Linked DNA regions of Drosophila melanogaster. The protein of the gene in region 3 interacts with the protein of the main gene of each other region in a pairwise test. Each region holds a gene or a part of one and is shown on either strand. Other genes may lie near its edges.

Region 1 (9,069 bases), on a different chromosome or scaffold from region 3:
GTATCTGAGCCTCCAGCTTGAGATGCACAGCCTCGGGAAACTCTCTGCCATTGACCTTTGCCATGCGCTCCAGAATCTTGAGAGCCTCCTCCAGGCGACCGCGCATCAAAAGCCATCTCGGTGATTCCGGCATGACGAACATGTACAGGAAATAGGCGTAAAACGGCAGGGATGTGATGTAGGAGAGGCGCACCCAATCCCGCTCCAGATAAGTGACGCCGGACAGGAGCATGATGCCCGAAGTGTAAAAGGTGCACGTCATCACAGTCACGAAGGATCGATAGTTTTCACCCACCAGTTCCAGAGCTGCAGACGCAGAAAAGTTAATGGTTAAAGTTAGAAGCAACAATGAAATACCCACATATTATAAATGGTATCTGGTAGACAGCTGGAATGGTCAGTCCTACGATGACTCGACTGCCGGCCCAAGTCCAAAAATCCTTGCTCAGCGAAGTCATTAGGCTGCCAGCCAGCAAAGTGGCCAAACAGACGAAATAGGAGAGCCTTCGTCCACCACGATCATTGAGTAATCCGAAAAGATAGACTCCCACTGGACCGCCAGTATTAAGAGCAGCCAATCCAATCGTAGGATAAATATCCTGATCGCACACTAGATCGAACTGAAATAGGAGGATTTAATGGTTTATAGTAAGCCAATCCTTCGCTCCTAGGTAAAGGTAGTACTGATGCTTGGGAAATGATTCGAGCAACTCCTACATGAATGACGTTGTAGTTTCAAATGAAGGCTTGGTGGTCTGGATTGCGCACATCAATCACAATGGAGGACCAGACGACGCTTGTGTTGTACTCCCATCCCTGGGGGCACTTGATCAGTGGCCAACTGGCATTCGGCTCCATGGTCGTCAGGTCATCCTCTTCCCCCGATTCAAGGAGCTGCGTCCAGTTGACTCCGTAGGTATAACATTTGCTGTAGACCAGTTCGTCGTTATCCTTGAAATAATTATTTCATCAGTTATTTCAAAATATATTTAAATAATAGAAGGCATAGAATATAAGGTTTACCTCTCCCCCATTTCATTGTTAGCCCCTTCGATTACTCATCGAACCACCCTCGTATCGACCCTTCACCTTAAGCAACGCACAATCAATGGGCTGACTTGATTGCCTTAGCCTCGGCACTCGTATGGCTGCAATTACTCACCAGTTCCTTGGGTATGGACAGCGATTTTCGCTGCTCCAGGGGCAAGTCGAGTAGCTCCGGGATGCGACACCAATAGTCATCCGGAGTATCAGCCATAAACAACTGGTTAAACGCACAAAAACCGCACGGTATGCAGGCGGGCAGGCAAATTCCGAAAACCAAGAGCTTCTGGTATTTGCCGAATTCGCCAATGGTGGGCAGAAGGTCGTCCAGATCGAAGGCCTCCTGGAAAGAAAACAGCAAATCTAGAGAAGATCAAGGACCGTGTCTCACAGATATGCACATCCACCGAGGGCTGGGATTCGGGCTTGTGGCGTTGTCGCAGCTCCGAAAGTTCATCGTATTCGTCCCCATCGTTGTCCTCAATATCTGACATGGATGCGCCTCTAGACAAGCTCTGAGCTGGAAATGTTTACTCACACTGCCCGATTGGCTCAGCTCACGGAAGCCATAGAAGCAACCACTGACAACTGTCAGTTGTCTAGGGTTGAAAGAATGAGCTGGTTCTGTTGATAGTAAAAAGTTTGTCGCAGTGGGCTCGATTCGTAATTTATATTTTTGTTTATTCTTTAGTCGCAAGTTAGATTTAAATAGTTTAAACTAAAGTATTTAAAATATTACACGTGAATTCAATCCTGCTCGAATTACGGCTAAGACGAGCCACTAATTACAGTTGTTAGGCTTTGATATTACAAGTAGAGAACGGGGTTTAAAGTACTTCGTTATGCAGCTCAGTACATTTAAAGGGATTTTAGTTTTTTTTTTCTTGATAATTTCTTCTTTTCTTGGAATCGTTGCTAGAGCTGGGAAATGGACAATGCTAAATTTTACGCCTAAAGATTAACAGAACGAAGAGCTATACAAAAGATGCTTCAAGTCGTTTTAACTCCAACTCGTTCGCTGTTTACTGCTTAAAAATTATTGCGCGCTTCGTTACTCCACTGTTCCTTGCCTGATACAAACATATGTTATTATACACATATCAATCGTAATTATAGTAAACAGAAAACTGTCTGTGCCGGGCGCACAGCGCAGAAATCACACACACATTAGGCTTAAGTGTAAATTTGTGGCTACACATACAAAAATACATTCGCACGAGCTCCTTCTTGAATTATGCGGTTTAATCCACCTTGACAACACTGTAGATCTTACGTATGAACCAAAAGCACGCGAAGAACCCGATGGTGCCGGTCAGCAAGAAGAACAGGAATACCATAATGGCCGTGTAGCCGAAATACAGGAACGTCGAGGCACTGTCCTTGATCGAAAGCTTTGTGACGAAGTAGTGGCAGCAGTATATGAACAGATAGACTGCTGTGAAGCCGGACGTCAGGAAGGAGCGCCACCACCAGTGATAGTCCTCCGCACACAAGTGAAAGTAGCACAGCAGAATGGTGGTCTCCGAGCATGTGATGACCAATATGACAAAGACCAGGAACAGAAAACCGAACATGTAGTAAATCTGGCTGGACCACAGCGAGCTCAGGATAAAGAACAGCTGAATGAAGATGCAGCCAAAGGGTAGAACGCCGCCCATAACGATTCCAGGAATAGGCTGTGTGTAGATCGATTGGTCCGGAATCTGACGGGGAATCTGGTTGGTACGCACAGGGTGCTCCAATGCCTGAAATCGTACAGACAAATGTAAGGAACCATTTTAAAAACTAGCTAAATATATACTCACGCGCTTGCGGAATCCAAAGTAAGCTCCTACAAAGGTTAGTGGCACAGAGACGCCAAACCACAAGGCAAGCAGAGCAATTAGCGTGCTAAATGGCACAGCTCCGGAGCTATTTTCCCCCCACAGCACCAGGTTCATGACGAAGAACAATGAGAAGACCACACTAAAAAAGAAAAACGATTAAATAATAATATCGCTTTAATTTCAAAGAACTTACCCAGGGCAAACGATCGAGGTAAGGATGACATTACTCTTCCATTTCAGCCCACCGAAACTCTTGTAGATACGCGCAGACACGTAACCAGCCGGTGTACCCAACGAAACAAACAAGACCATGGAACAGGTCATCAGGGCTCCCCGATTGGCTGGGGACAAGAATCCCAGGCAGGCAAATGCTAAGGTGATCATGGCCATCACAAGCACCTGTACACCCGAACCCAGGAATACCGACAACAGCATGCCCTTCCGCGGCGGCCTGAACACATCACCATGTACCAGTTTCCAGCCAAACTCCTCCTGGGCATCCTCACCGCTATCCATCTGATTATAGCGGGCTATATCTTTGTGCAACGTACGCAGCATTATCATTGCCACCATGCCACTCAGGAAAAGGACAATAACCAGGGAGTTGAGAATGGAGAACCACTGGATATTCGTGTGCGGCATGGATTCCAAAATGTAGTCCCAACGTGATGACCATTTGATAGAATCGTTCTTTACAAACTTCACGCTGTACGTGTAGACAATTTCCAGCTGTTCTCCAGCCTTTAAAGAGTTCTCACTGATTGCCAGTGGCTCTGTGCTCAAGCAATTGGGGTTTTCCTTATCGGTGTGCTTAATAGATTTGGGAGTCACTTTTACAGAGATTATGCGTCCACTGTTGCCGAACTGAATTCCCCAGTCCTCCGACTGTCCACTGTGATAAGTAATCTCGAGATCCACATGGTTGAATGGATAATAATGCATTGGCTGGTTATATATAGAGTTGATGGGACAACCCTCGCCATCACTGCGAACTAGACAACCCATGGGAAAACCAATTCCGCAGTATTGCTTGCCGTTCTCCAGTGGGTAGCACCATGTAACCGGCATGTTGTCCACAATCCAATGATGTTGGTAGTTCAAGCTGATTCCTTTCTTAAGAACCATCATACGACGGTTGCTAGCCGGATCGTCTCCTTTGTAAGTCTTGACACAGGTCTAAATACGAAGAGTCATTAAATCATTATGTTGGTAATGCGTTAAAACTGTTTAATCTTACGGTCGCACATTGCTGGTTTTCCAAGAACTGAATTTTATAGGGTCCTGGACGAATTCGCTCTCCGAACACAACCTGTCCCAGATTCTCCACCGGTGAGTTCTGCTCCTCGCCCAAACAAAAGTCGAAGTGATGGTACTCATAGGGTATTACGGATTCCTCAGTGTTTAAGCGGTTGACGTACAACAAGATTTCCGACTGAAGAAGATAATCAGGAATTAGATCAATCAATTGGATTGACAACTGTTGATAATACTAGTGTATTTTAATCTTATCGTGGAAATAATTATTAAAGTTTGGTAAAAATTCCAAAAGTTTGCAAATGCGTTCGATAATTTGACCCCGTAATTTGCTTTTACTTTGGGTTCTTAGAAATTTATCTTATCAAAAAGCTCTCTTAGATTGTTAGAAACAATTGAATGTGAAACACCTTAATTAATTCTTATCATTGGGCAACGTCTAATTTAAGGGCGTATAAACCGATTAGGATTTCTTGACCTACGGGTATATTAAAAAGTTGTTTAGATTTGTTTAAAGATAAGATGAAGCAAACAAAACCAATAGCTCACGCTTTATCATCCAATAGTTAGGTCATCTTTTAAAAGGGCTAACCCCATCTATTTGGGATATCAAACTAAAAATTATACTTTGTCCTGAATTTATATTGTTATTGTGTTATACTATTATTACTAAAAAGAAAATAACCCAAACATAATGCAAGGAAGCATGACAAGCTAACCGCGTTCCCTGGTTCAATTATTGGTTAGCCGCCACTATGTTAAGATTCTTAAGGTCGGGAGCCCCCGAAATCGCATTCGCGAGCCAGCTGAACCAACATTAGAACTCCCATCTAGCTGTCGCTAGGAAAGAGAGCTGGCGTAGGCAACGTCAGCAGAAGTTGAGATAGAGGGCCACATATGGACCCCACATATAACTAGTTACTGCGCTTATCAGTGCTTCCGCCTGTGACCACCATTAGAGGAATATAGAACCAATGTACATAACTAGTTCCAGTGCCTTTGCTAATTGTGGCGGGCGTGGGGCAAACACACCCACTATCTACGTACATATGTACATCTGCACTTCTGCACATACGTATACACCTACCTTGCATGTGGATGAGACGTCGGTTTTCTTGCAGAAATTGACCGGTGCCAGTCCGGGCAGATAGAAGGCCTGTGTCGGGGTCGCAAGGTGCAAGAGAACGACGCCCAGGAGCGGCAGAAGTCCGGATAGCAGGATCATCTCGAATTGGGGTAACCAACGAACGGCAGGAGTAGCAGACCTTCTTCCTTTACTTGTACGGGTTGTAATCACAACGTGGCCGTGTCCGCGATTCTCTGCCACACTTTCCGGATCGGCGGGCCACGCACAAACCGTACTATCTGGATATTTATCGGAATATACGGAGTTTTTCGAGTGTTTTTACTACGTTTCCTCTTTTTTGCCGAACGTCAGCACTGTAGCAGCGTTGCCACCTAGTACAGCTGAGAGGGCTGCCAACTGGCTGACAAAAAAACTACCAGCATTTGCAAAGCTAAATATTACCGCGAAAACCTTTAGCTCTTATTATTATTACGTGCAAAACGAAATTTGGTAGACTTAATAAACTTTTATATTTAAATTAATTAATTCCCCTGTTCAGTAAGCGAATGCAACCAATATACACACGTATACGTGTGATACTTCTAAGATATTACTATTTTTATCCACTGTTTCTTAATATAGTAATCAAATTTTGTTCATTTGTTAGTTTTTTACCTACGACTCTTAAGTCAAAGTATTCGATTATTTAGTTCGTTCGAGGTTTTGCTTCCGTGCTTATCTTTGAATATGAAAATTTTCGATAAGCACAATCATTCAAATTTAACGATTGATTTTTGGGGAGGCAAACGCGTTTTAATACAAGTAGTAAGTATTTTGGTCTTATCGTTCCTGACTAATAATATATTTTGTCAAATGGTTGCACATTTCCTACGCATTTAAGAATATTTAATTAATACGTTATTAGATTTAAAAATTATCGATAGTTCGAATAAAGCAATCGAATAGGTGTCGCCTTTTTCATCGAAACTCAGTGCTATCAAATAAAAATCGACATTCGTTTCAGCTCTATTTCAAATCGGAGACACAAGAAATATATTGCCTGCACTTCCCGAAGAGCAGATAAAGGTTCTGCCACCATTAAATAGGCTTATAATAATAACTAAGAAAATCGCCGTTAGGAATCCCGCGCTTTTTTACCGTTCCCGAAAAATAACCAAACAACAATGTGAGTAGAATGAAGAGTTCTACTGAACGCGCTTGTTGTGTGCGTGTGTGCGAAAAAATCAATTCTTTTGACAATCAAGGTGTTGCAACCTGTCGAAATAAAATCGCCAGCTTCAGCGGAGCAGCCCAATAACTTTAACTCTTTTGTCTCCACCATTTGCAGCCGACAGACTAGTGTTGTCTAGTAATTACGCAAAAATTCCATCACCCACACAGACGCACGAGCTGCAGAAAGAAACGGAAAGTGAAGTAGAAATCATATAGAGAGGAAAAGAGCGAAGACATGACTTCCGATATCGCCATGCAATTGATTGCCATTTTGGAAAAGACGGTGTCGCCAGGTGAGTTTCCCCACTGCTACAAACGTGTGTGTATAGATCCGAAAAATATGGATTTTTCTTCGATTGGCGGGAGGGACGCGCGTTATATGTTGCGCAGGGTTGCAATAGGCGCTCGCATATGTTTGGTTGCTAGGGGCCTCCGCACACATGTGCATCCACGTACATACTCCAAGGGAAACTTGGCGGCGCGTCTGTATGTATTCGCAATGCTTGCGCTCCTACAATTAAGGATGTACGAACCGCCTGCGACATAACCTCACTAACTCTAGGAATCGATGAGGCGTCGCTTCGGAGTCACCACCGTATGCTTGGCGGCCAGTTCTTCCGGTTGCTGATAAGGAATGCCTGCAAACTTGCCCCTTGCCTGAAGATTTTATGCTCCACCGCTACAATTCATTACTAGACCTTACTGCTTAGCTCTTCATATGCACACACTTCTTTCACCATCTATTGTATTCTTATTAAACAATATTCTCACTATATACGCCTTGCCTAAAAGTTCCTATCTTGCCTTCACATTCCCAAAAGTCAATTGTTGTAAAATTCAATGGCCTGATACCAAAGCTTTAAGCCGACCCAAAATGGTGGGCGTGTGTAGGCCCACAAATAAAATCTTTCGTTGACATAATTGGAAATTAAAAATGTCTAACCAACCAAATGACGCATTTTCAGACAAAAATGAGCTGCTATCGGCGAAGAACTTTCTGGAGCAGGCGGCGGCCAGCAACCTGCCCGAGTTTCTCAAGGCGCTGTCAGAGATACTGGTGAACACGGCCAACAGTGCGGTGGCGCGAATGGCAGCCGGTCTCCAGCTGAAGAACCACCTGACCAGCAAGGACGAGAAGGTCAGCCAACAGTACCAGGATCGCTGGCATCAGTTTCCCAGCGAGATCCGCGAGTTGATCAAGAATAACGTAAGTTACATACGCTGATGTTGAAACATATGACTTGTACAATTGGCACTGAATAACTGCGACTTACTTTCAGATCCTGGCTGCTTTGGGTACCGAGAACACCCGACCCTCCTGCGCCGCCCAGTGCGTGGCCTATGTGGCCGTGATTGAGCTGCCGATAAACCGCTGGCCCATGCTCATCCAGACACTGGTGAACAAGGTGGTCAGCGAAGGATCCAGCGAGATGCATCGCGAGTCGGCGCTGGAGGCCATTGGCTACATTTGCCAGGACATTCGTTTCGGCGTCATGGAGAACCAGTCGAACGATGTGCTGACTGCTATTATTCACGGCATGAGAAAGGTAGAGCCGAGCAATCATGTACGCTTGGCGGCCACCACGGCCCTTCACAACTCGTTGGAGTTCACCAAATCGAACTTTGAGAAAGACATGGAGCGCAACTTCATCATGGAGGTGGTGTGCGAGGCCACTCAGTGCCAGGACTCGCAAATCTGCGTTGCCGCTCTGCAGTGCCTGGTGAAGATTATGACCCTTTATTACCAGTACATGGAGCCCTACATGGCACAGGCTCTTTTCCCTATTACTTTGGCGGCCATGAAGTCTGATAACGATGCTGTAGCGCTGCAGGGCATAGAGTTCTGGTCGAACGTCTGCGATGAGGAGATAGATCTGGCCATCGAAAGCCAGGAGGCCACTGATCAGGGCCGCGCTCCGCAGAGAGTGTCCAAGCACTATGCTCGAGGTGCTCTGCAGTTCCTGACGCCTGTGCTCGTCGAGAAATTAACCAAGCAGGACGAGTGCGATGACGAGGACACCTGGAGCCCGGCGAAGGCCGCCTCCGTTTGCCTCATGGTGCTGGCCACATGTTGCGAGGACGAGATCGTGCCACATGTGCTTCCCTTCATCAAGGAGAACATCGAGTCACCTAATTGGCGATTCCGCGACGCAGCGGTAATGACTTTCGGCTCCGTGCTGAATGGATTGGAGACCAATACCTTAAAGCCGCTCGTGGAGCAAGCCATGCCCACGCTCATTCGACTGATGTACGACTCCAGCGTTATCGTGCGCGATACCATCGCCTGGACCTTCGGACGTATTTGCGATGTGCGTAGTGGTGATTTTTAAGGTGATTCATATTGTCATACTAACCTTCTACTGCTTTTTCCTGACAGATAATTCCCGAGGCGGCTATCAACGAGACATATCTTCAAACGCTTTTGGAGTGCTTCGTGAAGAGCCTAAAGTCAGAGCCGCGTGTAGCAGCCAACGTGTGTTGGGCCTTCATTGGACTTTCCGATGCAGCTTGGGAGGCAGCGGTCACCAACGACGGAGAGACTCCGGAGACGTACGCCCTGTCCCCGTACTTTGAGTACATCATTACCCAGTTGCTGGAGACCACTGATCGATCGGACGGAGCTCAAGCCAATTTGCGATGTGCTGC
Region 2 (5,840 bases), about 12 Mb from region 3:
AGACGATAAAAACAAAAAAAAAACGCTTAACGCATAAAGTATACGTATGGCGAAGAAAACGATAAAGCAGAGAGGTAAATAAAATGTAAGCCGACATCCGATGCATGTGCATTTTTTTATATGCGATGCGACTTTGCATTAGAGATGCGATCGTGATACAGTTCAATGCAATTCTATTAAAATTTAAATAAATATATATATTTTTTTTAATATTTAAACGTTTTTTGGTAAGACCCAATAACATTTGTTATACCCACCTGTGAGCACTTAAATTTTCCTTTCGTTTTAGTCACCTGCCCTCTTTCGATAGTCGCAACACGTGCCGAGTGCGATGCAAAAGGTCAGACATATGCAAACAAAGTACACTTTTTGCGCCATGTTTGCTATCTCTGTTCCCCCTTTATCCACTATGTACACCCCCTTTAAGCCGCCCAAGACCATCCCCTTCACACCCCCTTACCATTTGGTCAACTGGTGATGTTGTTGTTGCTACTGCTGCTTCTTCGTTGTAAAAGACATTGACATTTTTTTTTTGCTGACCGTTTGCTCAGTTGCTTTTCTCTGTACTTTGTTGTCGTTGTTTAATGGTTTTTATACATATTTTTTTTTTTTAGCCAGCTATTGTTGTTGGTAGCATCGCATTACGTCACTTTCACTGTAGTTTGCGGCTTAAGGCAGCCTTTCGGCTTTACGTTGTTGTTGTTGTTGTTGTTGTGTTGTTGTTGGCACTGTTTGCACTTGTTTTTGGTACAAACAAGCAAATTGCAATAAAAATGCTCGAAATTTATGGTCCACTGGCATACATACATTTTGTTTGGTATGATTTATCCGAGACTTTTGTTCGCCTTGCTTTCCGGCGGCACAATTTATGCCCGTTTACATGGTAAACTTTTGCTGTTTTTCCCAGTAGTTACCCGTTCATGCTTTTTGGTTCAAGTTCATCAGTTGGCCACCGAATTCGCAACTGGGATCAGGTTTTATGGTTATCGTCTTGATAGATGCGACGTTAAGTTCGCCAAGTTAGACTCGTATATCAGCAACTAGTTGGTAAACACTCATCACAAAGTTGATTTGAAAATATTTAACGCTGTAAGTTTGTTCATTGCGCATACGCCGTGTTAACATGTGGGTGTACCTACCACATTACGCATTCGCACCGTTTGCTCATAGAGCTGGGGCTTTGATAGATAAGAATCGGGCTGAAACAATGTCATTAGTCCAGTTAACGTGGCCTGACTAAACAAGCTAATTTCCCAGTTACCAAATGTCGGCAATTTTCGGTCAGTTATTTTGAATGAATCCAATCATCCGAGCATTAAACAATGTGGCCTCTGCAAAGTTTAGCTTTATTTTCATGTTTAGGAGCTCTTCAAGTGCACAGTGTGAGTTATTTAAATAAACCATAATTTTAATACATAAAGTACTACTTCTTAAGCAGATCAGACTGCGGCTTGAGCACTTTTATGTCAAATCTTTTGTACCAGATGATATGTTCGCGGAGTATGACATTGTCGACTATGAGAAAATCAATGTGAATCTCACAGTTCAAGTGCCCTTTCCTGGCAAGCTTCTCATCCACATTTTCGTAAGGAAGCTGTCAGATCAAGTTGGTGGTTCGAACTACTTCGATCTGATTCGCATGACGAACAAGGATCTCTGCAAGCTCCTCGATTCACTTCGCAATATTACAGTGGAGGAAATTCCGGGCGAAAGCCTTTTGCCCTCGACTTTTGTTGTCTCATGTCCTTTGGTTCCAGGCTTCTATTTTGTTGAGAATGGCGTTATTGATTCCAAACTGGTTCCTTTCCGCATTCCCGATGGCAGATACATGGTACTTTTTGAGCTGATACAAGTCTACGAGGAAGTTATGAAGCTGATTTCATGCAGAATCAAGTTTTCCATTAAGACACCACCTGGATACACGGAACCATCGCTGTTTAAAAATAGCGAGGAAAATAAAGCGACTGAGAAGCCAGTAGAGAAAACCGAAGAAGCAAGTACAGAGGTTACTCAGTCGAAAGAGGATAGTTCGGAAGTATCAAACGATTACGAATAATGTAATTTTTGTAACTTAAATTTTTTCAAATATATTATACATGGAGCCTCTCCCTTTTTTGCTAAATTTTTTCACCCAAAAAAACAATTTTTACACATTTTCTGCAAAATAGTACCATCTATCACCGAGTTTCGGGTGCGTAATAAAATTTATTATCTCCCACTAAAAATTCGCCGGGATTGAGACATATCGCACATGTTACAGCCACGCCCATAAATGTTAATTAAAAAACCCAGGGGCATGGGAAATATATCAAACATGAATTTAAACCGCGCGAGACAAGCCGACGACAAAGACTAACTCAAAGATATCCATTCAATCCAATCTTTTAATTTGTTGTCATGGTAAACTTTGTTTGTGATATCCATTCGACACGTATTTGTTTTTGTGGAGTACAAACTGTGGAATGTTTTTTTGAGCTGCGTTGACATTGTGGCGGCATTCTCGAAAGTTCGTTATTTACATATTTAGAGCAGGGCGAATGTTTCCGGTTTTCAGCTGCAAGATCGTCGTCAGCATCATCAATACTTGCACGATGACTGGGCAAAAAAAACACTTGGCCTCCGTACCAATCATATGTTGGTTTTTATACCATCGCCCAGCCCAAAATGGTTCCGTCGTTTAGCTTAACTTTTATTGATTTAGTATTCCACTCTACAGGCCTGACAGCTGTTCAAAGTGTCAAATATTTATGGATCCTCTGCTCAAGTGATAATTTATATTTTAATTGGCTTGACCACTGATCATTCGATCATTGGATCTTGAACTTCAGATTAACTTACCATTTGAATTGGGTGATCGAGGGGCTCTAGATACACTGAATTAGCAATTAAACTGCCTGGCATTACAATTTCCGCCTTCTTCCGGGTTTTGTTTAAATATTACTCCGCTGACCGCATTTGAGGTGACCTTCATTTGTCGATGTCTTCATTTACCCAGTCTGATTATTATTTAATCAACGATCAACTTCTTCAGTGGCTTAGCGAAGCAAACAAAAGATGCCACCACCAAGTAAACAGGGCAGCCTGGTTTTGCTGCTCGGTCCCGCTGCCGAAAAAATTGGCCCGAAAAAAAAAAAAAACAAAGCACCTGCCTCAACATGCCACGCCCCTTGAATCGTCTGCTTTTGGCCAGGTTTTTCTGTTTATACTTCTTTTTCGCTTACCGTCTTATTTATGCGAGACTCTTTTGTTTATGTATCGTTCATTTGTCCTCTTCTTCATTGCAAACTGCAGTTTACACATGACATTATCATCGATGGTCACCCAAAAGTTTGGCTATAAAAAGGCCTGATGCCAGATGGAGCCATGTGCAGTCGATATTTGGATTAATCAGCGTAATCATCTCCCCAGCAGCAGCAATCATGAAGTACCTAGCTCTGGTGAGTATTTGGATATAACATTTGGATTAATAATTGGATTAAATGATTTCCAATTAAGTGCAACATATGAAGTTGTTTGTTGAAGTATATTAAATTTTCAATTTGTACTAAAAATCTATTGTAATTCACATTTTTCAGACCATTTTCGTGTGCCTTATGGCCATCGCCCTCATTTCTGCCGTGCCCGTGGATGAGTCCCTGATCGGCGATAATATCTACCAGCCTGCCTTCGACGATGTCCAGCGTCCCCAGGATCCGCAGGCCATCTTCAAGCTGAAGAAGCTGCTCAAGTTGAAGAAGCTCCTGGGTTAGGAGAAATTCGCAATAAGCTTCGTTCAGATTCTAGTCCAGCCAATTGGGAACCTTGCCTCCCCCACTACATTCGATTTTCAAACCGTTTTGTTTAGACAATACCCAATAAGCACAAACACACAAACACACACAAAAGCACATACATACGAGTAAAGTATACGTAATCGTAACTAAAATAAATGTTATTTTCATACACGTCGGCTTTTCTTATATCATCGAAGCGTCGGGGATGAGATCTCCATGTGTGTCCAAAAAGGAGCTAATGACTGGCAGCGGGTCGGGTTTTTGTTTGCCTAGATCTGAATAAGAAACCCGTTTCGGATCGTTTCTGGGTAGAGAGTGTGAAAAGCGAACGGAATCTTCCTTACATGCGTATAAATATTGGCCAATCTCAGTCGTAAATGAATCAAGTGGGTTCAATGATGTGCTAATACAAGGAGCCCACTGTGAGATTAATGATCATACCTACTTTCATTAATTGGCATGATTAGTTAACTTGATATGCCAGTAATATTATAGCTTAACTAAATATAATATATTAAATATTTTCAAGTATCAAAATTATGTAAAAAGTAACGATAACTCATCACATATTGACATATTGAGAGCTGGTCACGAAAAATCGGACATGATTGCCATCAAGTTGAAGCACATGGTTCCAGCCTTTCAACTTACCATAAATTTTAACATTCAGGTGTATTAGTAGTATTAGGAATGATTTTAATGTGATCGTAAAAAAAGAAAATTATTTGGAATTGAAGGTTGGACCTCTTCAAACAAAAGACTTAAGAAGCGAACTTGTTTTTTTTTTGGGCACCATTTTGTTTTAACCTTGCAATAAAAAATGAATAAGTAAAGGTTTCGTTACCAAATACTTTCTTTAATTTCACTCTTGTTTTTCTTCTTAAAAACCTAAACACATGTTAAGTTAAACTATAAATCCATAAATGTGAGGGTGTGGTGTCTAGCCCAGGAACAGCAGCTTCTTGAGCAGCTTCAGCTTGAGCAGGAAGGATTGGTCGTCGGATGGGTTGACGGACTCACTGCCAGGACCTTCGAAGCCATCGGGAATGGCCTCCTCGCGAGGAGCAGCACTGGTGGCCATGAAGCACACGGCAAGGCAAAGGAAGACGCTCTGTAAAGGAAGGGTCAGTAAAGTTCCTTGGTATTCCGTGTCGATTTTTAGTGACGCACCAGGAGCAAGAACTTCATGTTGTATGTGGCTAGATGTATGTAGTAATCGATCGATGGATTCGCACTGCGCGTTGACAGACCTGCTTGCACTGATCACCAGACCCCGCCGACCCGTCTATTTATATGCCTGTTCAGTTGAGAGTGAGTTGCTCGGCCGGCAGACCGCTCGTCTTTCATAGAAACTAAAACAACGCGAAGCATCAGCCAAAGATTCAGTGATTCACATGTCGGCGGGCGGGGTGGTATATCAATCTGTTTGGACTATTAAAAGTGATTTTAGTCCAACACGCAATGTGATAACAAAAGCCAGGTTCCCTTTTTCGTAGCCAAGTAGATTACCTTATTGTGGTGCCATTGTTGAACTTGCGACGCCTTATGTTTGGGCAATTTGTTGACTTGCGGTTTCTCCGGCTTCACTTCTTTTTGCTAATCGGTGTTTCCTTGGTTCTGGGTTCTATTTGACTTGGCCATTAGCTGCGAGCGGAATCTCTGCTAAATATTAATTAGCAACTTGACATTGGCCTTAACGTTCAGATCAGCCATTAGCTTTTCGTTCACACCTCCATAATAGGCTAGAGTAGCTGAATTATCCGAATATAGTTATATTTTTAAGTGTGTATGCTGGCAGACGGCGAATAACCCATTGCGCAAAATTGATAAGATTTTGAGATTTAAATTTAAGCAGGCGGTTTGAAAATGCCGACCTGCCAACTTTTCGAAATTAGCTGCATTGAGTAAATTAAAAGTCGAATGTAGAGTTATTTGTAAATTTCTAAATATTTCACATCCAAGCTAAAATCTGTAAAATCGAAGTAATTTTATTCTTATAATTAAATGTGTTTACATTTTAATTAAGATTTGCTTTCCATAATTATCAATCAAGATTTACAAAATGGA
Region 3 (7,762 bases):
ACCATTGTACTATACTATATTATATTAAGTTTTAAATCAGTCCAAAAACAAACTGAATATTTCAAGTATTTTTTTTTTAAATATTTTTTTCTGGAATATATCTTTTTCAAAGCACATACTCAAGGTCTTAATTTTCTTTTTTCTTTACAGTGAACGGCGAGAGAAGATACCCGAGATATATCAGAACATCCACGAGTCCATCCTGCAATTGGTGGGTCAGATGGGAGTGCTGGGCATTGATTTCGGCAGCTGTACCAGCGAAAGATCGGCGGACTATATCCTCTCTCTGCCCGGATCGGCACCCGAATATATGAACGAGGTGAGTTTCGGAGTGGCACCTGGAGTGGTGCCCCCACTATCTGTATCTTATCCCTCGCTGCACTTCAAAGTCTGTTGTCGTGGTGTCGCAGTTTGAAATACATGCTCGTTGTGGCTGTCGAAAATCCGAGCAAACGACTTTGAAGTCAATCGCCGGACTTGCGTCAAATCTCCAACGGCTTTCGATCGAATTCGTGTTATCAGTAGCGGCGATTTGATTGATAGCGTGTCCATTGGGCGGCGTGGAATGTCTAAAAACTTTCCAAAACAAGTGTTTTGTAAATCGGACTTCCTGGCCCGGGCCTTATTGTATTATTTTGCTCTTTCCTTTTTTTTATTTCAAGTTTGCCGCAGCTGCAACGCTGCCTCTGAATGTGATTCATGTGGCGCAATCTGCTTTATCTTTCCGAAATTTATCTATGTACCTCTAACCAGTGGTCATTATATGGCTTACGATTAGATTACCAAGGCTGTTCAGGTCTCCAAGTGGGCGGGGCCTTTCCCAGATCTAGATGCCAGTCATTCATGGTTTTATGTTTTGCCAGTGAGTAATGCCAAGCATAAACAAAAGAAGTACCGAAGTTCGGATTCCCCTTGCTTTATGACTGACTGTTTGAATAGGTGACTCGAATACGTTCAGAGTTTTAAGTTAACTGAGGAAATAAATAATCATATCAGACCAAAATAGAGTATGTTTTTTGGAGGTTCTTATATTTTATTTTTAAGTTTAAAGTTGACTTTGTGCTGTTACTTTGATGTTGATGTTGATCATTCGTATGACAGTTGCAAAGTGACACAATCTTGGCGTTTATGATCCTTATCATATATTCAGCAAATAGAATTTTTTTAGACGGTTAGCTAGACAATTTTACTACCGGATTAGCTTTTCGTACTTGTCTGTCCAAGCGGCTTTTGCAATCTTCCGGTGAAGAGTTGATGTTATTTTCCATCACTGACTTGAAAACAATACTTAATTTTGGGTTACTTTTTTTGTATTTTTAGGAGTACTGCGACCACGTCACTACTTTGTGGAACGATGTGGGTATTCGCGCCTGCTATGATCGCTCAAATGAGTTTCCCCTGCTGGATAGTGCGAAATAGTAAGTATCTAATTGGATTGATTCAAAATCAGATTTCTTTCCCATTTATTCAAAAAAAAACCTTACTAAAGTTTGAATTTTTTTTTACCCCAGCTTCCTGGACAACTTTGTGCGGATCAGCGATGCTGAATACATACCCAGCACCGAGGACATTCTGCACAGCCGTAAGATCACCACCGGCATCTCGCAAATCACCTTCCGCGTACCCATTCCCAAGAGCATGGGTGGTGGCGAACAGCAGTTCCAAATGTACGATGTGGGTGGCCAAAGGGATCAGCGGAATAAGTGGATTCAGGTATTCGAAGGCATACAGGCCGTATTGTTCCTGATCTCGTGCAGCGAGTTCGATCAGAATCTGCGCGAGGATCCCAGCCAGAATCGTTTGCAGGAGGCTCTGAAGTTGTTCAGAGCCGTGTGGCAGAATCGTTTCCTCGCCTCCGCCGGATTGATCGTGTTCCTCAACAAGTACGACATCATGGAGCGAAAGATTCGGGCCGGCAAGCACATTGTGGACTACTTTCCCGAATACGAGGACTTCTGCAAGAGGCCGCAGCAGGACAATTGCTTTGGCGAGAGTGACTGGACGAAGATGTTCATCAAACAGAAGCTGGTGGATATCACACAGGAGCCGTTCAAGCGACACTCACGGAATCAGGTGGATCTGGGTACCTCGGAAAGGGAGTGCTACTACCACTTCACCGTCGCCACGGATACGCGATGCATCCGTGATGTCTTCTGCGATGTCCAGAAGATGATCCTCTCGGAGAACGTGTCCAGCATGGGCCTATTCTAGTCCAGATCCCGTTGCGGATCGGAGAGCTTCTCAATAAAGTTAAGGGAGGGCTGTCCTCAGGCCCCCACCAACTGTGATCTAGTAGGATATGACTTACATAAGTAGCCATGTAAGACCGTAGATCGTAGTGGCAACCGTATGTTGCACAATGGCTGGTACAACGCTTTAATATATTTAACTGCATTGGGTGTAGAGGAAGAATCCTCATACCGAATGCTCTCACTACTCCTTCAACCAATGTCTAAACTCTAATAGAATATAGCATCTACAATAAACCAAAACACACCCAGACAATTTGAGAATGAGTTTTAAATATTTTTGCACCCAAAGTTTGGGTATTTGGGTCCCATGCAACACAAAGTGTAGCATACTTCAAAGGGCACACACGCTTTGAGCGATCTGATGTTGCCATAGGAAAGGAAAAGAAACCATAGTTGTTTTACTTTTGATCAAAATAGTTTCCCATTCGGAATACACCATTCTACTCTTTATACAAGAATATATAAGCTTCGTATTAAAACATTTTAAAATATAAAAAACATATTGAAAGGCAAAAAGTCATAGTGATCTTTTACAAAATATGCGCTTCTTATTCAAATTAAAAAAAAAGCTTATTCCACTTAAATGCCGTTTATCGATCAGAGCGTTATATTTTGTACGGTCGGTCTTAAATTTAAATGATGGAATCCACATAGTTCTTTACCATCGCTTAACTAATAGCCAAGTTACACACCAATGAGCTGTGGTCCTTACCTAATACCCATTACTCGTAAAGTGATATGGTATTTAAGTTTTGTGTCTACGTATGCAACACGAACAAAGAATCGTTACTTTCAACCAAATCAAAAAGTTAAATAAAGATCGATCATCGTTTTAACTTTTACCAGCTTACGTTCTCCCCAAACATTTTAACGATTCATGTCGGTATAACCATAAAACAAAAATATTCCTGTATAACTCGCGATACTGTTTAATAATTTGGGCATACAAATGCATCTTGCTACGCTTAACCAAAGACACTAGTGGCTTAACTGTTCCTTGCAACATAAGTAAGTTTGACTAGTACCCAATAGGAGTGGAACCAGTGTGCATAGAGCTCCACCCGCACGCAGCTAGATGTGACCGCACGCGAGCCGCAGAAAAATACCGCGATGGCAAAAGTACCAGCGCCATGATTGGTACTAAAATATCTCCTATATATAAGTATAGCGATAAAGCAGCCGAACCGCCAGCTAAACGTTCAGTTCGCTTTGCGCCGGCAAATTCGATAGTTTTTTGAGTTTGCTGAACCGAGTCGCTGGGGCAGAAGTGTGTGACAGCCAGCCGTGTGTGTTGTGATCCAGCCAATTGATACTGCGATAAGAGGCGGCGAGCAAATGTAATTACCTCATAGACATCAGCGTTCGAAAATAGTAACCGTGTTTTCTGTGATATCTGTGTGAGTGCGTGTTCTCGTTGATGTTTTGCGGTGGTTTGGTTTCCTCCTTATTTTGCGCCCCTTTTTTCTCATCCGATGCTGCGAGAGAGAACGAAAGAGAGGAGAGGCAAAAACATATTTCCCAGACATTTGCTGATTTAACCGAGAACTTTATCGATTCAGCAGGAACCAGAATACGAATGGAAAAAATTCGGCAAAGATCGCGTGTTTTTGCGTGAGAGCAAAGTTAGGGCGAGGAGGGGCAGTTTGTTTTTCGGAAACATAAAAACCGCTAGGAGCATCGAAAAAATTTCACTAGAAATTTTTGAAAGCGCTCGCGCAAAAAACCGGATATGTTACTCAAAAAGAAACAACAGAAAAAGCTTCCAAATCAAACCAAAGCGAAGCTTATGGCAAAACGAAATCACCTGTGTGTGCGAGAGTGAGTGAGAGTGCGTAAAAGTGTGAGCGCGTCGAGTGTGTGTATGATTAGTCGCGTGTCTGGCATGCAATTAGGCATTCAAACTAATTTCCCTCCCACCGGCAAGTTGCCCTGTCTCATTTGTATTTTGCTGGGTTTCGCTGTTTGCTTATGCATTCCTTCAAGTTCTTTTAATTCGCACGAGACTTTCGTGGGCAGAGAAAAAGAGGAAGAGAGAGCGCGCCAGACTGGCGCTCTCTGTAAACTACCACAATTACACTTTCCGTTACAGCCACCCCCTCACTCATGTGCTCCCAGAACACTGTGAGAAAAGTGATGTAATAACGGGGTAGCTTACAGGACTCAGAGTGTCCCTGGATTCAGCTATTAGTATTGTGATTTCAAGATATAAAAGTAGAATGTTAAAAAAAACCAAACTCGGAGACTCCAAATGTATTTAATTTGTAGTTTTAGTGTAGTTTTTCGGCTAGAGATTTTGGGGATCTTAAAATTCTCACATTTAAATTAAATATTTAAAATAAAACTCATGCACATTTAACTAAACTTAATTATTAATGTCAAGATTTTACCTCCGATTGACGAGCAATGTTTCTCTTTGTGTATCAAGTTGTTTGTGTATCCATTTAAGCTTCAGCACGAGGTGTGAAAAGTGTGAAAAGCGGAAGAATGTAGATGAAGATAACCACAAAGCGTGCGCCATTCATGAAAGCGTTGCACATCCCTTGCAGAGTGAGCAAGAGCGGGAAGGTGTTTGAAGGGGTGTGAGAGGGAAGAAAGATTGAGTAAGAGAGAGCCATGGACCAACGGTGTTTTTTTTGTTGCCTGGCAAAATCAATGAAATGGATGAATGAGAGGAGGAGTGGTGTGGGACGAAGGGGAAAGGAAGGTCGCCGAGAAATTTATGCGACAAAACGCGGGCTTTTTATGTGCCTGATTGTGTGTGTGTGTGTGTGAGAGAGCGCGTGTGAGTTTTGATAAGGGGGAGTGGTGCGGAATTTTTACTGAATTAAGCTTTAAACATCGTCGTGTAAAATCCCCATTACTTAGGAAACAGATAAGATACTGCAATCAGTAAAAAAAACTAAAAACATTCGACTCGAAGATAAATTGTAGTTTTAATAATTAAAGAATGTTCCCATAAGTTAAAAAATTATATTCAAAGTGTTTTCCTTTTTGTGTGCCTATTTTAAAAGTACGTAATGTATAAAAAAACAAAGTCATACAGAGCAAAATGAGAAAATTTAAACCGTCCTAGTTCATTGGGTACTTTCAGTATATTATTTTATTTATTCAAATAAAACAGCTGTATAGCTCGATGTATATTTAAATTAGTTTTTAATCAGCAGAAGCTAAAACCTATTGTTAATATTAAATTAATATTAATTTAATAAAATCGTTCTGGTGTACGAATAGCTATTTCTAATACGAATAGCTATATTCCTTAACAAAGTTGTACAAGATCTTTGACAAGATAGTTCTGAGTACATTAACTAATCTATCTCTACTTTCTTGTCAATCCACAGCTGCATATAACCCAAGTAACATAGCCACCAACTCAAACACATAAAGCCCACCAAAATGATCAACATGGACATTAGCGTTACGCCCAATTACTCGTACATCTTCGACTTCGAGAACGATTTCATACACCAGCGGACGCGCAAATGGATGCTAGAGAACTGGACATGGGTGTTCTACTACTGCGGCATCTACATGCTGGTCATCTTCGGTGGTCAGCACTTTATGCAAAATCGGCCTAGGTGAGTCTGCCACACTGAACTGAACTATGTGAACTAAAGCAGTTTTGCGATTAAAAAACATGTGTTCTTTGGTGGCTTAGATAGACAATTCAGTGAAATAACGGTTGGGTTAAGAACTTGCGCCCTTTGGCCTTGGAAAATTATTAGCTGGCGGCCGGGGAGCGGCGTTAATTACACCCACAAGTGCACACGCCCCTTGCAGTCGGTAGAAACAACTTTGCTGTTTATCGAAACCAATCCCTGGAAACCCCTATATTGACTCAGTCGCGCTTTGTTTCGGTTTATTCTCCGGAAAGACTGGAGTCCAAGTGTACATTTGTTATTAGCCCAGACAGCTGTTGAGTTCCACGTGTAATTATATTAAATTACGGCTAATCAAACACTAATGTTGTAGGTGAATCCTCAACTCGGGCTCAAATAGCCAACAATTCGCATTCGCACCTGAGCACGCACTATTCAGGTGTATTTTCCGATGGCTAAAGACCTATTTGATTGGGTATTTTAACAATTTTTCCAACAGTCAGCGCTGTTTGTCCCCTCCTTGTTACCTGATTTACCTGTGGTGGATCCAATTGGCGGCTATTCGTGCTGGCAATTGTCTCGTTTCGATTCGCTTCGTTTTTGCCTATGATACTGTGTTTGCCTTCCTGCTTCTAATTGTCGTCATCGGGCTTTGTGGCCAAATTAAGTTGGGCTCGTGACATGCCATTTAGACAGTATTTTTGCAAGATCATAATTCAGTTTTGTCACCTGGTTTGGAGCTGTTTATAGCCTTGCTAAGGCCACTGTGAAATTCGGTAGAAAGTTGCTACCGTCTAACAGAAAAGTTTATTATTGTCCAACTGGGGAAAACGGGCTATATAAGTTCCTTCTGAGTATCTTTCGAAACATACGTCTTTGTATTCTAAAAAATGTTAGCTAGATAAGTCTATTTGATGTGGCTTTCCTAACCCTGAATTCCACATCATGATTCAATTGCTTGCATAATGTAATGTGGAGTAGCGATTCCTGCCCACACTCCGACCCAAAGCCATTGGGTTTTTGGATGAGTTATATAGGGGCTTGGCCCTGGGTTGCTTGGCGATTCTCTACGCGGACACTCGTCGGGGGATCTGTCGGTTAATTTTTCACTTTATTGTTGTTGGCTTTGCCTTACACTTGGCTTTTTCGGAATGTCATTTCAATATTTGCCCACATGGAGGAGAGTCGGCTAAGCAAATGGACGTATGTACTTGGTACAGAAAGGTGTGAATTTAGTGAAAATGCAGGCGTTTCTTTCGAACTGTTGGGGTTAAAAAACTGACAAGGTAAGGATGAATTGGGCAAATTAAAACGGATTGATTTCCGCTTGCTCAGCATGGCTACTTAACTTCTTGAATACTCAAACACATGCATGAATATTCAATATTTGACGTTTTCCAAACCATGCCATGTTTAAGAATCTCTAATTAGCAACCACGGTTCTGAACAGCGTGTCAAAATTAATCGCAAACTTTGAAAGAATGCAAATGCACCTGACCGCATGCCACCGACTGTACATTTACATATTTAGAGAGTGGACTTCCCGCTTGCATTCCACCTCATCTTTCATGAATTTAATTTTTGAATTTCTGTTTTGTTTCACTCGTTTCGGACAGTGCGCCATTAAAGTCATTAAACTGATTAGGTTTATAGGTACACGCCATGTCGTACTCGTTTCATTTCAAATGCCCAACGGACAAAGTTTTCCACGGCGACCATGTGGCACGTATGTATGTACATATGTGCTTGTGTGTCATGCAAGAAGTGGGTGTGTCCACGCAGACGGGGTTGTGGGTAGTAGTCCTGGACGGAACTCCAACAGGACACTTTGACATGTAGCCGCTCTATAGGTCCACTTCAATTGGACACTGGTACACTGGACCACCTGATTGCGTTTACAATATTTACCAG
Region 4 (7,374 bases), on a different chromosome or scaffold from region 3:
CGCTGGCATATTACGCGTTTACCAAACAGAAGTTTAGATTCCGGGAAATATTGAAAATTCAAATTGGCTAATCAGCCATAAGGCCCAAGGCCTTCGCTATATGCCAATTCCATTTGGAATTTGGAAATAAGGTATTTGGCGAAAAACAGTGGCTGACTGGGGCTATTTGAATTGGCTTCCTGTCGGCGCTTATTTCATTGTGGCAGCCTCTGTTTATTTATAATTCGATTGGAAATGTGTTTGGTCAAAGAAGTTCATTTCGATTGGCGCCACCTCATCGCATTTTACGACCATTCGCGGTTTGTTTATCTTTCTGTGTTTAGGCTTAATTACCGTGGCATTTCATTCATATTTAATGTGTCGGAAAGTTCTGCCCACCCGCACAGAAACTCAATCGAAATCGGCCTTTGAGTGCTCGCTCGGTTAATGATTTTTATTGAAATCGGCATAGTTTTCACTCGACTGCCCAACGGTCCATAAATTCATAATGCTAAGGACGAAACTTTAGCTGGCTATTTGCTCCGTTCAGATTGATTAGAAGATTGATAGACTGGCTGTAGCTAAGTGAGAATGACTTGAACTTTGGGAACTACTCGTAATTGATTGGCTCAGCCAGTTTGTATTAGCTTTTTCACGCAGGAGATGCCAGCTAAAAGGTTGCGAGTGTGGTTTTGATCGCATGCCAAATAATTTATGTCTTTTGTTTTTTCGCCAGTTAACAAGGTCTTAAAGCTGGTAAGCCTTGTGCAAATTTCATTCCAGAGGTGGCACATCAAAAGACGATCCCTTCTTTAATCAGCAAACTCATTAGCATCGTCCGCTAACTAAATACAAATTAAAGAAACAGCATCCACAGCTGGCAAAGCCGCTTGCCTTTCCCCTTTTTCCACGCTTTTCCGCCTGCTCCTGCTGGTTGCTAAAAAGTTTTCACTTCGCAGCCGTCAAGTTGATGTAATGAAAAAGTTGCAGCATATTTTTAACAATATTTTCCCAGCTCATATCACATGACGTGGACACGCTGGCTACTTTCTACTGGCAAAAGCCAATGCTGCTGCGGAAAGCCTTCAAAACAACAAGAACTCGGCGTACAGGGCGCTAATTAGTTTCGAGTCGGCGTTTTCAATGGGAATATGGTTTGAAAAAACATCGCTCATACGCAACGTTGGCCCGCAGCCGCAGGTTATTATTATAATTTTGGTTCGGAATGGTAAAAAAAACGGAAATAAAACTTATTTCTAGCACACAAACTGAAATAAATAAACACTTTCGCTGCGAAAGTGGAGACCACACCCTCCACTCAAAGCCGTTTTGCACGTAGCTTTTCTCGTGAGCAGCCGTCGGGAAAATCGCTTGCAAAAGTGAAAATTGAACAAGGAACCAAAGGCGCAAAGGAAAACCATATGAGCAACGGGTTAGCACTGTGAAAGCGAATCCAGTGCAGCTCATTATAAAATAGCCAACGTAAAAAACCCTATTTCCGTTTTTTTTTTTTTGGGGGGGGGCGGGTCAAAGGTGCTCGCTCCGGACCCGAAAATTCACTTTGAGATTCCAAACAGAAATTTTAACGATGCATATAAAAACCCGGCGACGGCAAATGAATAAATAATTTATGCGTAAAGGTTCCTAAACATTCGAGTGGCTGGGTAACATTATTTGCAAAGTTACTCGTCTCTTCTTTCTTCGCATTTTCCACACGTAGCAAATTGTATCTCTCTATTACCTGGTGGAAGTAGCCTGATTTAGTGGCAGTGCCGCCCACCTTAGCCGAAGAAAAAGAAAAAAGGGTTGAGTTTAAAACCCAGCCAACCCCGCAAGTCGACTTTTCACGGGAGTCCCTTTGGGTTATGTTTGCTTATCACCTGGTTGGCTATCCAAACAAGGTGGAAAACGATTGCGGCCCTCTGTTTGCACATTTGGCACGTTTCAATTTCGCAGCGATTGCCGAACTGCATGCAAATTGCAACTGAATCCCACTTTTTTTTTGTACGTTTACTACTTTGCATATGGCAAAGAAACTGGGAAAGCACTTTCATCTGATGATCGACTGTATGGATAGACATCGGAGTGAGAAATAGTCAATTACGAAAATGATTTTCGTGAGTAATTATTAAATAAGCTGCAATTTCAGGTAGGCAGGCTGACTATAAACCATCGCTTATAGTGAAACGTGAGCGGAATTTAAAAAGGAAAGTAATTTACAAAATGTTTACAAATATATTGAGTATTGGTTAGAATAATTGGTTGCCGTTATTAGCATGTTTATAATAAGCGTGAACGAAAATAACGATTTTTAAACAAAATCGTTTCGTTGAAAATCAAAGTATAAATCTCTTGAAAAATATTGCATTCAATTCAATTAATCTTTTGCTGAAAGTGTAAACGGAAAAACACGTCTTCTGCTAGTAAAACTACAATTTTATTTCGCAGATCATTTCCCTTTTTTTTCGGATCAAACAAGAGTATATTCAGATCTAAAAAATGAATTGGAAGATGAGCAATGCGTTTACTCCTGCCTCAAATCGAAGCTGTCACTTGTCAGTGGCACGCGTTGCAGGAACGGAAATCGGAAAGTTCGCCCGGACTTTGGCTGTGACTCCAATTAAGCAGCTGGCGAACAGGTGAAACAGGTGAGACCCAGCAGAAGTTGTCATAACTGCCGTGGACACATTTCCATCGCCATCACCATCGTCCCTTTTTCTTCTGTCTTTTCCGCATTTATCCAGACTTATTGCTGCATTGCAAACAATACGAGGGCCATGTTGTAAATCCCCCAACAATTGTCTGCCTCCAGTTCGTTTTGTAACCTTTCGTTGCCCAGATTGCCCTCTCCTGTTTAAGGACGTTCCAAGAAAAAGCAGCCAGGGTTACCGATTAGGAATGTATGGCCATTGTGCATGTGAACTAATAACGCATTTGTATGTTTGCTTTTGAAAATGGCGAGTTAGCTTGAACGTGAACTCATCCGAAGGAACATTCGCTCAATGCAAATAAAACCCAATTTTGCTGAAATGAGCATTTTTTTTTTTTTTTTTGGTGAATCGTATGGGCATGTGGACCGATTCCAAGAATCAATTTACATGGCCATTCTCGTTTGGTCAAAGGAATAGGTGTCATAGGTTGATATTAAATGGAAATGCAGCATTGTAAGTGTGGCAATAAATAATTCAATACACAGCACGGAGTGACTTTCATTTTAGTTGTTATACAAGTGAATTCCATTTAATAATTTCATTCGTGATAAATGATTAAGGTATTCTTATTTGGAATTGTTTGCCAAAAAACATTTGCATTTAAAATTGTATACGCGCACAAAAGAGGCATAACTTAAATATTGCAGTGGTTTTGCTGACTTTCAAACATCATTGTTTAATTTTAAGCGAGTATGATGTTTAAATGTCTTTAATCCTACCAAGTGATTCTGCAAAATACCTCCCAGCCTTTTGCCCCGATTGATCACCATAAATAGCCCACTCCACAATCTTATAAATGCCGAATATCTCAATTGTGCACCATAGCCAAGGCAATTTCAAAAGAATATGTAATTCGGTTTCCATTTGAATATTTACGTCTCGCTGCCGAGGGCTTTCTCAATTGATTTGTAATTCACTTTTGTGTCGAACAATTCCGCGTTGAGCTCTCCGTTTGCCAGGCCAGGGTTTTTCTTATCGCCGGGATTGGTTTGGCCGGATTTTGGATTTTGGATTTTGACACCGAAACGGAATGCTTAAGCAAACATTAAAATGCAAACGCACAGGACGAAGCGATAAGGCGGAAAGAACAAGAGACCTTAATCGGTGGTCAAAAGCGGGAAAAGTGCGCGCGTTGCTGGGAAAACTGATTCGAGGCTCCTGTCACACGATGCGATTAATGACGCGTTCAAAAGCTGGTGGCAAGCGGAATCCGGAGCTGAATTGAGCTGGCTGAAAAGCGCGTTGCGAGTGTGTGTGCCGCACGGCCGACTGAAATCGACTGACTACGCTCGGCTGCTGCCACGGCATTTAAGGCAGAGAGTGAAGTCGGAAAATGCGAGGAAAATTCGGAGGAAAAGCGAGAGAGCACGCCGCGATGACATCAAGTGAAAGCTCTGCCATTTGAATCGAGAGACGGCTGTTAGTCCAACGCCAATATAGTACGGCAGCGAAATAAATCAAATTGAATCTATGATTTCGTTTTTGTGCACTTCTTTTTTCTACTTCAGGACCCCAGGACTCCTTGGCGCAGCCTCCTCCTCCTCCGCCTCCTTCTCGAGTGGATCCTTCAAGTTGTTTGCCACCGGATTTCATTTGGCTGCGGCTCAATGAGCCGTCGATTCTGTTTGTTCGAGTGGCCGACGAGCGCTTTAATCGCCCATCCAAAGCCAAAACCAAAGCCGCCACTCGAGACAGCTGGCAGGTGGCAGATTTCAGGTGAAACCCGAAGGTTTCCAGGTGCCAGGCCATCAGGTGGTGCCAAAGCTGACAGGTGAGAATCTTGTTTAACTTCGGCTTCTGCTCATTATGCTCCTCCCGTTTTGGTCCGACTTGGCCGTTTGTGCGGATAATTGCCGCCTTCAATTTAAATTGCCAACGAGCTTGGCGCACCTAATTTTCGATTTCATTTAATTTGGCGCAAATCTCATTAGGGCAAAAACGTCGCCCAAGATAAATGGCAGTGTGTTCTTTTGTTTTTTTTTCTTGCTCTTCGTCCGAGGCATCGAATCGCAGATACTTTGACCTGTGCCTGGGGCACTGGCGTCTTTGACTTTCCCTGCTCCGTCCGGCATGCCAAGTCAGCGATTTATTTGGGCCAAACAATGGCGGGATAACCCAGCAAACATTCACTGGCCAACTGATAAGCGCCAATCTCTTGGCAAATGATAACACCGTTGGCCTGGCAGCGCAGGCGCGAGCTTTTCCACAAGAGAGAGATAACGATGGAGAGAGTGGAAAAGCCAGAGAGCTCTGCCAACTGATAAGAAAGCAGCAGACTTATGCTGCCTCTGCATCTGCGGCTTCAATTGTCTTTAATCGCTGCTCAAATGTCGATGATGTCCTGGGAAGTGTTCTGTGGGATGGGTTGGAAAATTGGAGAGCGGTTACCCCGGGGAGGAACTTTAACGAATTGTCATTGATTTCTTTTGAAATGGCACCGCTTTTGTTTGCCTTCGCTTCTGCCACATTAGGCAGCTGAGCAGGGGGGGGATTCTGCTCCTCTAACTCTGATTACTGCAGCTCTGCCTATCGGGGGCAATGATCACAGATTGAATTTGCTCCGGCGGCAGCCGGTCTTAAATAATTATGAGCGCGTTTAATTAATAAGTTTGCCAAGGCAGCAACAAAGACCTCGAAAAGGGTTCTTCCAGAAATATGCTGTTATTGTTTTTGCGGCCGGGAAGCAATTAAGACCGCCTAGCGCATTGTCTTCTCGGCCTCAGCCCCGTTTGACCCCAACTTTGTTATAAATTTGCCTTTGTGCGTGCTCTGAAAAATGACCAGCCCCTCAAATGTAGAAAAAAATAAATATATATATATAAAAACTGTCACACAAAGAGTTTGAAAAACCGAAAATGAAAAAGAGATAACTCAGATCCGAAAGGGGCAGGGACTGGGGTGCCGGAGCGGATTGCTTCCTTCCTGCCGGGGGACGCTCACTTTTGCCGGTCATTAAATTTTTTTCCATTGCCTTTGGCAGTCGATACATATTTGGCTGCGTACATAAATAATGAGCTCAGTTGTTGTTTGGCCAGATTTGCAAATGTTCTTCGACAGTTTCAATTATTTATTTACCAGCCCAGCCGACGACTACAGTGAGCACTCAGTGGGGTCTTTAAAACTGGCAGGCTAAAAGCCAGCTAGTGGACACTCGAGACTTGCCAATTAGGACGTAGGAAAATTGTTTTACATGAGTTGGTTGAGAGTTACACATTTTTTAGCAGGACTATGGAGGGCAGCAGCAACTTTCACAGAAGTTTAAAGGGAAAAGTGCCATGCTAAACCATTAAAGTTTGATGTGGCTACATTTAGATACTATAAGTCCGGATTCAAATAAATTCATAAAATTCATGAAGACGAAAAACTTCTTCAGCTGTTAATAGTAAACCCATATTTTTAACAATTAAACATGAGGTACATCATGTACTTGTTAAATACTTTGCAACGAATCTAGTAAATAAAAAGTACTCACCTGCATAGAATAAAGGCAGCAGATTGAAGATGATAACCAGCGGAAATATAGAGCGTGCAAACTTTTGCATATCCGTAAGGATGCCGACTGCCGGAGTCGTTGAAGCCGCAGCAGCGTAGTCCTTTGTGGCTTCGCCGTGTTGATAGAGCTTTCGTTGTTGTTTCGTAGAGTCCTGACTGACTTTGGAAGATAGGCGTGATAGGCAAGTGCTCGTGGCGAGGCGATCCTGCTCCGAAATCCCTGTAGAAGCGACCAAAGGGGCAGCAGTATCAGCCAGGTCCTGCTGTTGCTGCACGACAGGAAGAACAGCAACATTGCGGCCTGCAGCAATGTCGTCCAAAGGATTGCGCATCCTGTGCTGGGTGTCTCTATCGCTGTCAGAGTTCTCATCTGTGGTCCAGGACTGCGGACATTCGCTGGCTGGTACATCATCTGTTGCTGCTGCAGTTGCAGTTGTTCCTGTTGCTGATGTTGCTGCTGCCGCAAGTGTTGACTGGCATAATGTTGCTGCTGCTGTTGTTGTTGCTGTTGCTGCCTCTGATTCGCTTTGTGTTTGTGTGTGGCACAGAAACGTATCGTTTTGAAATTGCTTCCGACTGATGCAGTTGCAGTTATTCGTGTGCTGCTGTTGTTGTAAAGGTTGTCGTGTTGTTGTTGAAGAAATTGTTGTTGGTGTGTTATAGAAATGTCGTATCTGTGCTGAGGCCATGTTGTGCCCTGAAATGAGATATAAAACGGCAACAAAGCCATTAAATCGATGTTGAAAACCAATAAGCATAGTGTGCACATTAAATTGACAATTCGAACTGTCCGCCATTAAGTTTTGATAAGCCCATTGCTTTGATTATCGACCCCAACAACGCTGTTGCAAGGATTTCAAGCCGAAAGGGATGCGGACAGCATCACAAAGCATTTGGGTTCTTGTTCTTTTAATCAATTTCCACTGGCACGCCCATTCGGTTAACGCCGGCGGGCAATCCTTTTGCTGTTTTTTACAATCAGCCAAATCCCCGACTCTCTTTTTTAACTGGGTTTTGACCGAGGGTTAATGTTTGTTTTTCCAACGTTTTCTAAAGTTTTGTGTGTTTTTATTTACAAAGGAAGTAAGCGTAAGCCGACAAAAATTTAACATGTAATTTAATTTCATCTTTATTAAAAACTTGTGTATTTATTTGTGTTAAAAAATGATGTTACTATGATTTGGTATTGTTT

The links.
Region 1: the proteins of Baldspot (region 3) and TM9SF2 interact in a two-hybrid assay, tested with the Drosophila melanogaster proteins (one large-scale study listed by BioGRID).
Region 2: the proteins of Baldspot (region 3) and CG15212 interact in a two-hybrid assay, tested with the Drosophila melanogaster proteins (one large-scale study listed by BioGRID).
Region 4: the proteins of Baldspot (region 3) and CG43732 interact in a two-hybrid assay, tested with the Drosophila melanogaster proteins (one large-scale study listed by BioGRID).

What each region holds. Positions count from the first base shown.
Region 1 is NT_033779.5:20,728,715-20,737,783, forward strand, and holds TM9SF2 (transmembrane 9 superfamily protein member 2), read right to left. Parts: upstream 5,596-9,069; 5' UTR 5,350-5,595; coding exon 5,212-5,349; intron 4,303-5,211; coding exon 4,108-4,302; intron 4,047-4,107; coding exon 3,064-4,046; intron 3,010-3,063; coding exon 2,850-3,009; intron 2,790-2,849; coding exon 2,286-2,789; 3' UTR 1,702-2,285; downstream 1-1,701. Other genes in the region: CarT (carcinine transporter), read right to left, coding at 1-306, 362-620, 769-951, 1,163-1,387, 1,446-1,538; Fs(2)Ket (female sterile (2) ketel), read left to right, coding at 6,659-6,716, 7,389-7,630, 7,704-8,732, 8,801-9,069.
Region 2 is NT_037436.4:5,128,185-5,134,024, forward strand, and holds CG15212 (uncharacterized protein), read left to right. Parts: upstream 1-3,360; 5' UTR 3,361-3,419; coding exon 3,420-3,437; intron 3,438-3,575; coding exon 3,576-3,749; 3' UTR 3,750-3,943; downstream 3,944-5,840. Other genes in the region: CG4597 (uncharacterized protein), read left to right, coding at 1,323-1,382, 1,439-2,056; CG15213 (uncharacterized protein), read right to left, coding at 4,714-4,884, 4,944-4,961.
Region 3 is NT_037436.4:16,657,298-16,665,059, reverse strand, and holds the start of Baldspot (baldspot), read left to right. Parts: upstream 1-3,444; 5' UTR 3,445-3,589; exon of another isoform or gene 3,590-3,649; intron 3,650-5,593; 5' UTR 5,594-5,648; coding exon 5,649-5,830; intron 5,831-7,762. Other genes in the region: Galphaf (G protein alpha subunit f), read left to right, coding at 151-319, 1,321-1,418, 1,512-2,211. UniProt on the Drosophila melanogaster protein: Catalyzes the first and rate-limiting reaction of the four reactions that constitute the long-chain fatty acids elongation cycle. This process allows the addition of 2 carbons to the chain of long- and very long-chain fatty acids (VLCFAs) per cycle.
Region 4 is NT_033777.3:18,946,796-18,954,169, reverse strand, and holds the start of CG43732 (uncharacterized protein), read right to left. Parts: upstream 3,975-7,374; 5' UTR 3,567-3,974; intron 1-3,566. Other genes in the region: CG42613 (uncharacterized protein), read right to left, coding at 6,163-6,871.